2 linked regions of the Macaca mulatta genome follow. The protein of the gene in region 1 purifies or fractionates together with the protein of each later gene. This does not show direct contact. Links are inferred from orthologs where the notes say so. Each region holds a gene or a part of one and is shown on either strand. Other genes may lie near its edges.

Region 1 (4,485 bases):
AGTATATGAGTCACTTTCCAAAAATAACTAAATTAACATATGCCTTCATATGTTAATCAAACAGCACAAATGACAGTAACAAAATACTTACATACCTTAAAACATGCGCGCACACACACACACAAACACAAGGATAGTTACATTTCCAGTACTTTTAGAATCATCTGCCCATTTAATGCAAAAGACTCAACTTTGACAGTGGCTGAAGTGACTCAAAAGTTACATCTGGCTTCAAAACTATTACATGACTTTGTTAGGAACTCTGTTTCCTGATTCCATTTTTTGAGATTAATGTGGCATGCCTTCCTTGGACCCTAACTACCCGTGAGAAATTAAGAAGAGAGGTGGTAAAAGGAGAAAGTCATTCAAGCCTAAAAAACCCAGCTATAACATGGATAATTTGAGTAAAATAAAATAATCATGGTGAAATAAAACATGAAGCTCAATTTTTATCTGGCCTCCTACCTAAGTGTCCCACAAAAACAAACTTACTTTGTAATACAAATGATATTCTGGGAGAAGTATACAATGTTGCTGTATCATTAATTAGAAATGGAAAGTTTCTTTCACCTGATAAGTCATGGTGAATAAGGTCAGCAAAATTGGGGTCTTCACCCCACCAAAATATCCACAATTCTCTTCTTCCAGGTCTTTGATCTCGCCGCCAAACACCAAGTACATCTGCCTTAAGGCAGCGACTAAAACTGCTCAAAATGGGGTCTTCTTCTGTCACAGGAAACAGAATAGGGGCAGAAGTTGGGCCTTGCCATACATATTTTTTCCATTTAATTCCCGTCAAGTCAGCCTGAAGAAAAGAAAGCATGATGTTTTATTATTGCATATTCACTCATATTCACAAAAGTACTCCATACGATGTCTCCTATTTCGTTAAGACATTACAATTTTTCAATATATGCTTGAGCTATTGAATGCAAATTAGAACCAAAAAAAAAATGACTTTATAATTCAACAACCAACAATTTTAGGGAGAAGAACACAGTTAAAAATAAATACCACCATGTCACTGAATAGCAAGCAAATATGTACTCCAAGTAGAAATAAAAGAAACTGAATGAAGTTAAATATAGACAGACACACACACTTCAATATACAAACAGAGTACATTTTTCTCTGTCCTAAATGGTCACATTTATTCATTGGTGTCAAACGTTTAACTGAAAATCAATTATTAAAGACCCTATCACGAGTTTTTATTCCACATTTACAGAAGTAATGTCTCTAATGAAAAGACATCTGAACAAGTCCTGAAAAAAATCTATGTTAATTCTTCACACATACCCCTGTCGGAAAAGTCAAATAGCTGCTCACAAAGAACTGTCAGATTTGTGCTAGTCTATCTTCAAAGAGCCTGATCCTAAAAGTATCAAAAATAGACTGAGTTGGATAAGATAGAATACAAAACCTGGTGTATGTCGTATTATACGTGAAGAGATGCTGATTAATGGACATTGAAAAGAAAAACATACTGTAGAAGAGGATAGAGTATGAAAGATCTCAATTTAGCATCCAGAAAGAAATTCAAGAGGAATTCAATAATTTAATCTAACTTAAAGGTGCAAAGCATAAGGTGCCAAAAATGAAACTGCTGATACATGACTGGCAGTTTACACTTGCCAACTAGTTGTGCTCCGCCCACTTAACTCACTTATTACCTATCATATACTCTTAATATTTCTCATAGCACAAAGGAGAAAATGAAAAAATAAAGTCACCCAAACTTAAAGTCATTGATGAAGCTCAGCTACTGTCCCACACAGGCCAAGTTATTTGCAACAGTTGGTACTTTTGAAAGTCTCAACTGTTGGATGTTACCAGACCTGGGCTAACCTACACAATGGTCATCCCTACACCCAGCTTCTCTGGACTTTTCATTTCAATCAAACAAGGGAGCAGCCTGCTCAAAACATTCTGAAAAAGCAAGCAAAACACAATAAATATAGAAACAGTGCAAAACCACAGCACCTCGTCCATTAGCCCCCTTCACTCGCACAAAAAAAATTATGTTCTAATAAAAGCAAGATGGCTAGAAATTGTCAAAAATGGCAAACTGTTTTCAAAGTTTAAAAAGAAAACATATGAAATGGCACCTACTGGTTTTTACAGAGAGATCTTAAGTCACCCAAGGAAGAAACTAACCTTGCGTTAGTTTGACTCATACAAAAAAAATGTAAAACGAAGACAGGTTTCTGGGGCATAAGTTCTGGGGTCCTGTTTACATGGGGAAACCAAATTAAAAGGATGAGACATAAAGGCGGTGGGGAGCAGGGGCAATAATGGAAAGTGTGAAGCTGGGATACAAGGCCAATAAGCAGAAAAGCAACAGTTAAGAGAGAGAGAAAGGTTACTGTCCTGCCAGATAAGGAGCTCAAGTTGAGGACGAGACTACGGTGAAGAGGAGAGTCCGAAAGAAGACGAGAAAAAATGCCAACACTCCCCAAACAGGGCCCGGGACCGTGGGAGAGCGAACGCAGTCTCCCGGGGTTGGCCGCGGAGCTTCGCAGGGCGCCGGCTCCGGCTGGGCCTCGCCCGGGGACTCGGGCATCTGGACCAGACCCGGCCCCCTCCCCCACGGCCCAAGGGCGCACCTCACGGCCCCCCTCCCTCGGCGCCCGCCGGCCCCGGCACTCACCAGGCAGAAGAGGTTACAGTGACAATCTTCCAGGCTGGCCCCGTTCGGCACGAAGGAGGCACTCATCGTCCCTCACAGCAGCCGCCGCCGGCGCCACAACCCACCATCCGCCATTACCGCCGCCTCCGACCAGAGAGAGAAACACAGACACCGGGGAGGGCGTGGGGGGGGTAGTGGTTGGGGGGGCGGTGGAAGAGGAGGCCGCCGGGCCGCCCGCCCTCCCCACCCACCCCCCCGCCGCCGCCGCTGCCGCCGCCGCGAGCAGCCCCCGCCGCCCGGCCGGCACCCAGCCGCCCGGGGCCGAGGGCCGGAGGCGGGAGGGCCGCGCCGCGCTCGCCTGGCGGGCCGGACTGCGGAGCCCGCAGACGCTCGTCCTTCTCTGGGAGACGGAGGGGATGTGTGCCCCTACCACAAGAAAAATAATAAATTACACAATAAATAATCAAAAACGAGTCCGAGACGGCAGAGCCCAAGCCCTGGAAGGTTCTCCCGGGCGGGGAGGCGCCCACACAGGGGCGGGAAGGGCGAGAACCGGGAGAGAAGCCCAGGCCCCCGGCCCGGCAGCGGCGATGTCCTTAAGCCCAGAGTCTCCTCAGCGGCGGAGGTGGTGGCGGCGTCTGCGGGCTCAGACCATTCTCTGGCTCTGTCTTCGTGTCGTCCCTGGGCCGAGCCGGCCTAACGTCTGCCCTCCTGCGGCCTCACCGGCTGGACGCCGTAGTCTCCCCCATTTTGTGGGCCCAGCGGGCGGTGTTTTTCCCCCTTTAATCCGAATTCACGGGTTTTCCCTTCGCTTTAATGGCGGCCACAGGGACCAGCTCGCCCTCTCTGCTCACCCATTGGCCGCCTTGAGGTCACGTGGGCCCGGGCTCCGTGGGGAGGGGGAGAGAGAAGTGAGCGAGGGAGGGCCGGGAAGCTTTCGGCCGAGGCGGTGAGCCCCGGGGACTGGGCAGCCAGCTGGTAGCCACTAACATAGCGCCACCTGCTGGGTGCCCTGGCCAGTGTAAAATGACCCGTGGCCCTGGCCCTGTCTTTGCGGGGAAATTTACAGTCCAGGAAGGTTCATTTCACAAATCAATGGGAATTACGTGGAAATCAGTTTGAGTTCTTTGGAAGAGAAAGTATTGACAAAAATTCCAAGACATTCTCATTTATTTCGCGAGGCCGCTGGGGTGCAGGCGCAAACCTCTGGATTTGGGAGTCAGACGATCTGGATGGGGACGAGACTCCACCACCTAAAAGTTGTGATATGAAGATAGAAACTTAAGAAACAAAATATTGCCCTGTAGTTAATAGACTGGGAATTAGAGCCACACTCCCTGGGTTCCAAGCTTGAGCAAATCACTTTCTGCCCTGTGTCTTGTTTCCTCGTCTGTAAAACGGGGAAAACATGCCCCTTACCCCACAAGCTTATTGTAATGAGTTAATGCAAATTAAGCAGGTAGCCCAGGGCCCTGCACAGATAAGCACTGTTAAGAGTTAACTATTATTGTTGTCATCGTTACCTCATACAGTTATTGTGAGAAGCAGGAGAACTAGTGTATGTAAAGGTCTCACTACGTTTTTGTTGTTGTTTACTTCTGTCTCTCTAGTGCCTAAAAAAAGATACCTAGCACACAGTAGGTGCTTCATATTTGTATATTTACAAATGAGTGGGTGGTAAGAAGTAAGAACCAAACAAAAGGTTCATTCTCTTTCCCATAAAACACCCAGTGCTTGGATGGGTTACACTTCAATATAAGAGTTCAAAACAGTTTCTCTGACGGTTTTAGGATTGCAAGACAGAAGAAGAAAAGATGATTCAGAAGTTAGAAATATCGGTGAGTTAGGACTTACTG
Region 2 (4,577 bases), about 31 Mb from region 1:
TTTAACAAGCCAGCTGCTTAGGAGTTGGTAGATGAATTAGCACTGGTCATTCACTTTGTAGCGATCATCTCCTGTCCTATTCTTTTCGGTTTTATGCTTTTTATTTTTGAGATAGGGTCTCGTTCTGTCACCCTTGCTAAAGTACAGTGGCATGATCTGGGTTCAAGTGATCCTCCCACTTCAGCCTTCCAAGTAGCCAGGACTGCAGGCACACACCACGCCTGGCTAATTTTTTTTTTTTTGTATTTTTTGTAGGGATGGGGTTTTGCCATGTTGCCCAGGCTGGTCTTGAACTCCCAGGCTCAAGCGACCAGCTCACCTCAGCCTCCTAAAGTGTTGGGATTACAGGCATGAGCCACTGCATCTGAAGGTTTTATGTATTTTTTTTTTAAGTCCCTTCTGTGTCCCTTTAGACGAAACAGAGACAAGCACATGTGATCAGCCCACTAGGTTTCACAGGTACGCTCTTGAGTACATCTCCCAACAATCCTATGACATAAGCATTCCCATTTCATAAGAGAAAAACAGGCTCAGAGAAGCTAAGCTACTTGCCCAGGTCACCCAGTCAGCACATTATAGAGCTATTACATAATCTAAACCTCTCTTTTGAGGTCCACTATGGACATATTAGAGATAAGAAGATTATGGCCTAGAAAGGTTAGACATTTATATCAATATTAGAAGGCATGAAAATGTCAGTATACAGATTTGAACTCAGGACTGTCTAACTTCAAAGCCTCTTCTCTGTAGTATAACTTACTACTACATCTTTAAGGCCAGCCCAATCCAGCTGCTTTACCAGGGCTCAAGAATATACTCTTGGGGGGTTCAAGAGCTGTCTTTGTGAATGTGTACATTTTGTGTTTTCCTTTTTCCACATTTTTCTTAAAACCAGTAAACTGGGGTTAATCTGACTAAACCCTTTATAATCCGGCACTGCCCTGGGATTATAGGGGCTCCATACGTATTTCTGTCTGTGATCATTATCACAGGCTCACAAAAACTGAACAGGCTGTCTTATCCCAGAAACATTTTTTTAAATTTATTTATTTATTTATTTATTTTTGAGACAGAGTCTTGCTCTTGTTGCCCAGGCTGGAGTGCAACGGCATGATCTCGGCTCAATACAACCTCCACCTCCCAGGTTCAAGTGATTCTCCTGCCTCAGCCTCCCGATTAGCTGGGATTACGGGCACCCACCACCACACCTGGCTAATTTTTGTTTTTAGTAAGAGACAGGGTTTCACCATGTTGGCCAGGCTGGTCTCAAACTCCTGACCTCGTGATCCGCCTGCCTTGGCCTCCCAAAGTGCTTGGATTACAGGCATGAGACACCACGCCCGGCCCTTATAAACAGTAAACACCAAGTGAAGCCAAATGAAGCCAGGGTCTAATGTGAGAACAAAGCCTTTGTAGTTATTTGAAAAGTGGCAGAAGAGCATCAGGTCATCCCACAGCAAGTGAATCTAGTTTGCTTAAACTCAAAAGTGGGTGGGCCACTAACGGTCAAGACCTTCACGTTGTAACAATTCCGTTTCAGTAAAACAGTGAAGAGCACATTCATGTTCACCTGAATGTTACTGGATTCGTAATTTTCTTTTAATTTACTTTGTGGTCTTTAATGGCTGAATAAGAGTTATAAGCCTAAGGGTTTACACCTACTATCACGTGGATATAGAGTGAAGTAACATAATGAAAATAATTTACAGCCTAGGCAACACGACTAAATTCCATCTCTACAAAAAGTACAAAAATTCGCTGGGTGCTGTGGCTCATGCCTGTGGTTCCGGTTACTTGGGAGGCTGAGGTGGGAGGATGGCTTGAGGCCTGGAGGTTGAGGCTGCAGTGAGACGAGATCACGCCACTGTACTCCAGTCCGGGTGACAGAGCGAGACCCTGTCTCAAAAAAAAAAATAATAATTTAGGCAAACACTGGGATCAGTAAGACTTTCGTGCTTTTGTTTTTGGTTTTTCCTTTACAGAGTCACTTTGAAAACTCAGGCTACCCTAAAGGCTGGCCAAAAGGATGACAATTATCTCCTTTGGTACTGTTGGAACAAAGTCAGTACAGGTGGGTCTAATCATCTCAGGCAACTTCTGTGTTTTTGCTTAGTCTAATATTTCCCATCGCCACCGCTCCCCTCTCAATCTTTTTGAATTATGGGTTATTCCCAATCATGTCTTTTTTTTTCCTTCTATGCCCCTTTTACTGTGTCCATCCCATAGCACTTGGCAGTGTCCCACACAGGGAAGATGATGCTTATCTGTTGAGTCTGTTGAAATAAGGAACTAAAGTGAGTATTACTAACATTAAAGGTGAGAAAACTGAGACTTAAAGAGATTTAATTTGCTCAAGATCGATGGGATGCACGTTTGAGCCGCTGGACAAGAGTCTGTATGTAGTCTCTAAGCTGGCTTCATTCTTAAGGATATCGCACCTCTCGGGGCTCAAATCGTTTGCTTAACTCATGGAATGTCTCTGTGGTCTTGGGAAAGGCCTCTTCCCGCTCTGGGTCTGAGTTTCCCCATCTGCGAAACGGGGGCGTGCCCTAGAGCGCCAAGGCCTCTTGAAGCTCTGAAACGGCTGAGACGAGAAGCTGGAGGGAGTATGGGGCCTGGTCCTCTCCTAGGTTCTTACCATTTGATGATGCTGTGAACCAAAGGTAAAAAGGAGTAGTTCTCTTCCTCCCTCGCGCGGGCAGGTGACTGAGGCCGTGGCGCCGGCGACTGCTGCGGCTGAGGCGCAGGGACAGGCGGCGGCTGAGGGGGCGGCAGCGGCTTGGTGTCAGGCAGCGGCTGGTCGGACGTTGGCGGCAATGCATCCTCCGCCTGTCGCCCGGCTGCCACCCCAGCAGAGGCCATGGCTCCGGGGTTAGGTTAACCCAGAGGTCGGGTCGCCGACAGCGTCGCGAACTCTATACGTCACCACCGCGCGCCCTGCAGGGGCGCAGTGTGGAGGAAGGCTCTGAGCATGCGCACTGGGCACTCGGCTGGCAACGGGGCGGAGGCGGGGTGGGGAGACTGTTGCTAGGCGACGGGCCGTGGGTGGGTCTGGGGTGCCTGGTTTTGGGTTGAGTCAAGACCCAAAATTATTTAAATATTATTAAATAGTGAGAAATAGGGGATTTATTTCAGAAATAACAATTTTTTTTTTTGAGACGGAGTTTCGCTCTTGTTGCCCAGGCTGGAGTGCAGTGGCGTGATCTCGGCTCAAAGCAACCTCCGCCTCCCGGGTTCAAATGATTCTCCTCCCTCAGCCTCCCAAGTAGCTGGGATTACAGGCATACACCACCACGCCCGGCTAATTTTGTATTATTAGTAGAGACGGGGTTTCTTCATGTTGATGGTTTCGAACGCCCCACCTCAGGTGATCCGCCCTCCTCGGCCTCCCAAAGTGCTGAGATTACAGGCGCAAGCCACCGCACCTGGCCAGAAATAACAATCTTCTTATTCCTATTCACACGATGAAGAGGGCCCCAAAGCCACAAACACAGGAAGCCTTGAGGTCAGTAAGGCGCAGCCTGGCCCAGTGCACCCAAGTCTGGAGAGGAACCACTGGACCTGCAGGAGGCGTAGACAGCACTTACCTGCTGGCTGAGGCACCAAACCCGGCCCGGCCCACAGTGCGAGACATCGAGACCTCCTGCTTAGCCCTAAGGACGCAGAGGCAAAGGGATTGCGGTCCCTTCAGTGCTGCATGGCTGCTGAGAGTCTGATAATTCAACTCAACACACTTTTAGTATGCACCTGCTGGATGGCCAGGTGTAATGTGTGGTTGCAGGGAGGCTGTCCTTGCTTTCAATACAAGGTAGAGGGGATTCGTGCCAGGAATAAATATCATATCCTGGAAGAACGACAAAGTCAGGTACTCTCCATACCTTCGGGCCAGTTCCTCAAACCCCTAGGTCCCAGTTTCCTCACCCCTAAAATCATATTTAGTTCAGAGTCATGGCAGAGCCTAAACTGCATTCTAACTTCACATTCGTGGCTGACCCCAAAAGGTCTTGTTGGCATGAGGACTCCCTAGGATCGTAGGCCAAAGATGGGTTTATGGTTATGCTTCTCAAAACAAGTTTGCTATGAGGGCTAAGTAGCAATTTTCTGCGCAATGGGGACAGCCACCCTAAGCTTAGCTAGTTAGAAGACATGAGTGGGGAAAGCTGTCAACTGGCGAGCCCATTCTGCTGTAATCCACCATCATGGGCAGTGCAGAGAGGCGAGGAGGTCCACATCCACATAGTACTATGAACAGGAGCCTTAAGAGCAAGGTGGCCAGGGAAAGGATCACTGCTGATATTTTCAGGCACATTGGGAGGGCTGTGTGGAGGCAGATCCTTGCCGAGTAGGACCATAGACAGAAGTGCTGTTGGAGGGTCCGCTGTACAGGTAAAGGGCCTCAGCACAGCTCTCTGCAGCAAGAGCTGCCCACGATGCCCCAGAGAGAGAGCAAAGGGAGGGAGTGGGTTGCAGGGTTTTCTTCCTTCTAACCATGAACCTCTCCAACTAAGGGAAAGTCCAGGAGTTCTGGTAGAGCATGGAGGAGAAAAAGGCCTGTTAGAATAGGGCCAGATGTGCTT

Evidence for each region.
Region 2: the proteins of MED13 (region 1) and MED9 purify together in Homo sapiens (affinity purification with mass spectrometry; 6 studies listed by BioGRID and IntAct, with this or other methods). This does not show direct contact. The link is inferred for Macaca mulatta from reciprocal best matches to the Homo sapiens genes MED13 and MED9.

Annotation. Positions count from the first base shown.
Region 1 is NC_133421.1:49,804,664-49,809,148, forward strand, and holds the start of MED13 (mediator of RNA polymerase II transcription subunit 13), read right to left. Parts: upstream 2,850-4,485; 5' UTR 2,717-2,849; coding exon 2,651-2,716; intron 806-2,650; coding exon 571-805; intron 1-570. UniProt on the Homo sapiens protein: Component of the Mediator complex, a coactivator involved in the regulated transcription of nearly all RNA polymerase II-dependent genes.
Region 2 is NC_133421.1:19,031,458-19,036,034, reverse strand, and holds the start of MED9 (mediator of RNA polymerase II transcription subunit 9), read right to left. Parts: upstream 2,895-4,577; 5' UTR 2,863-2,894; coding exon 2,639-2,862; intron 1-2,638.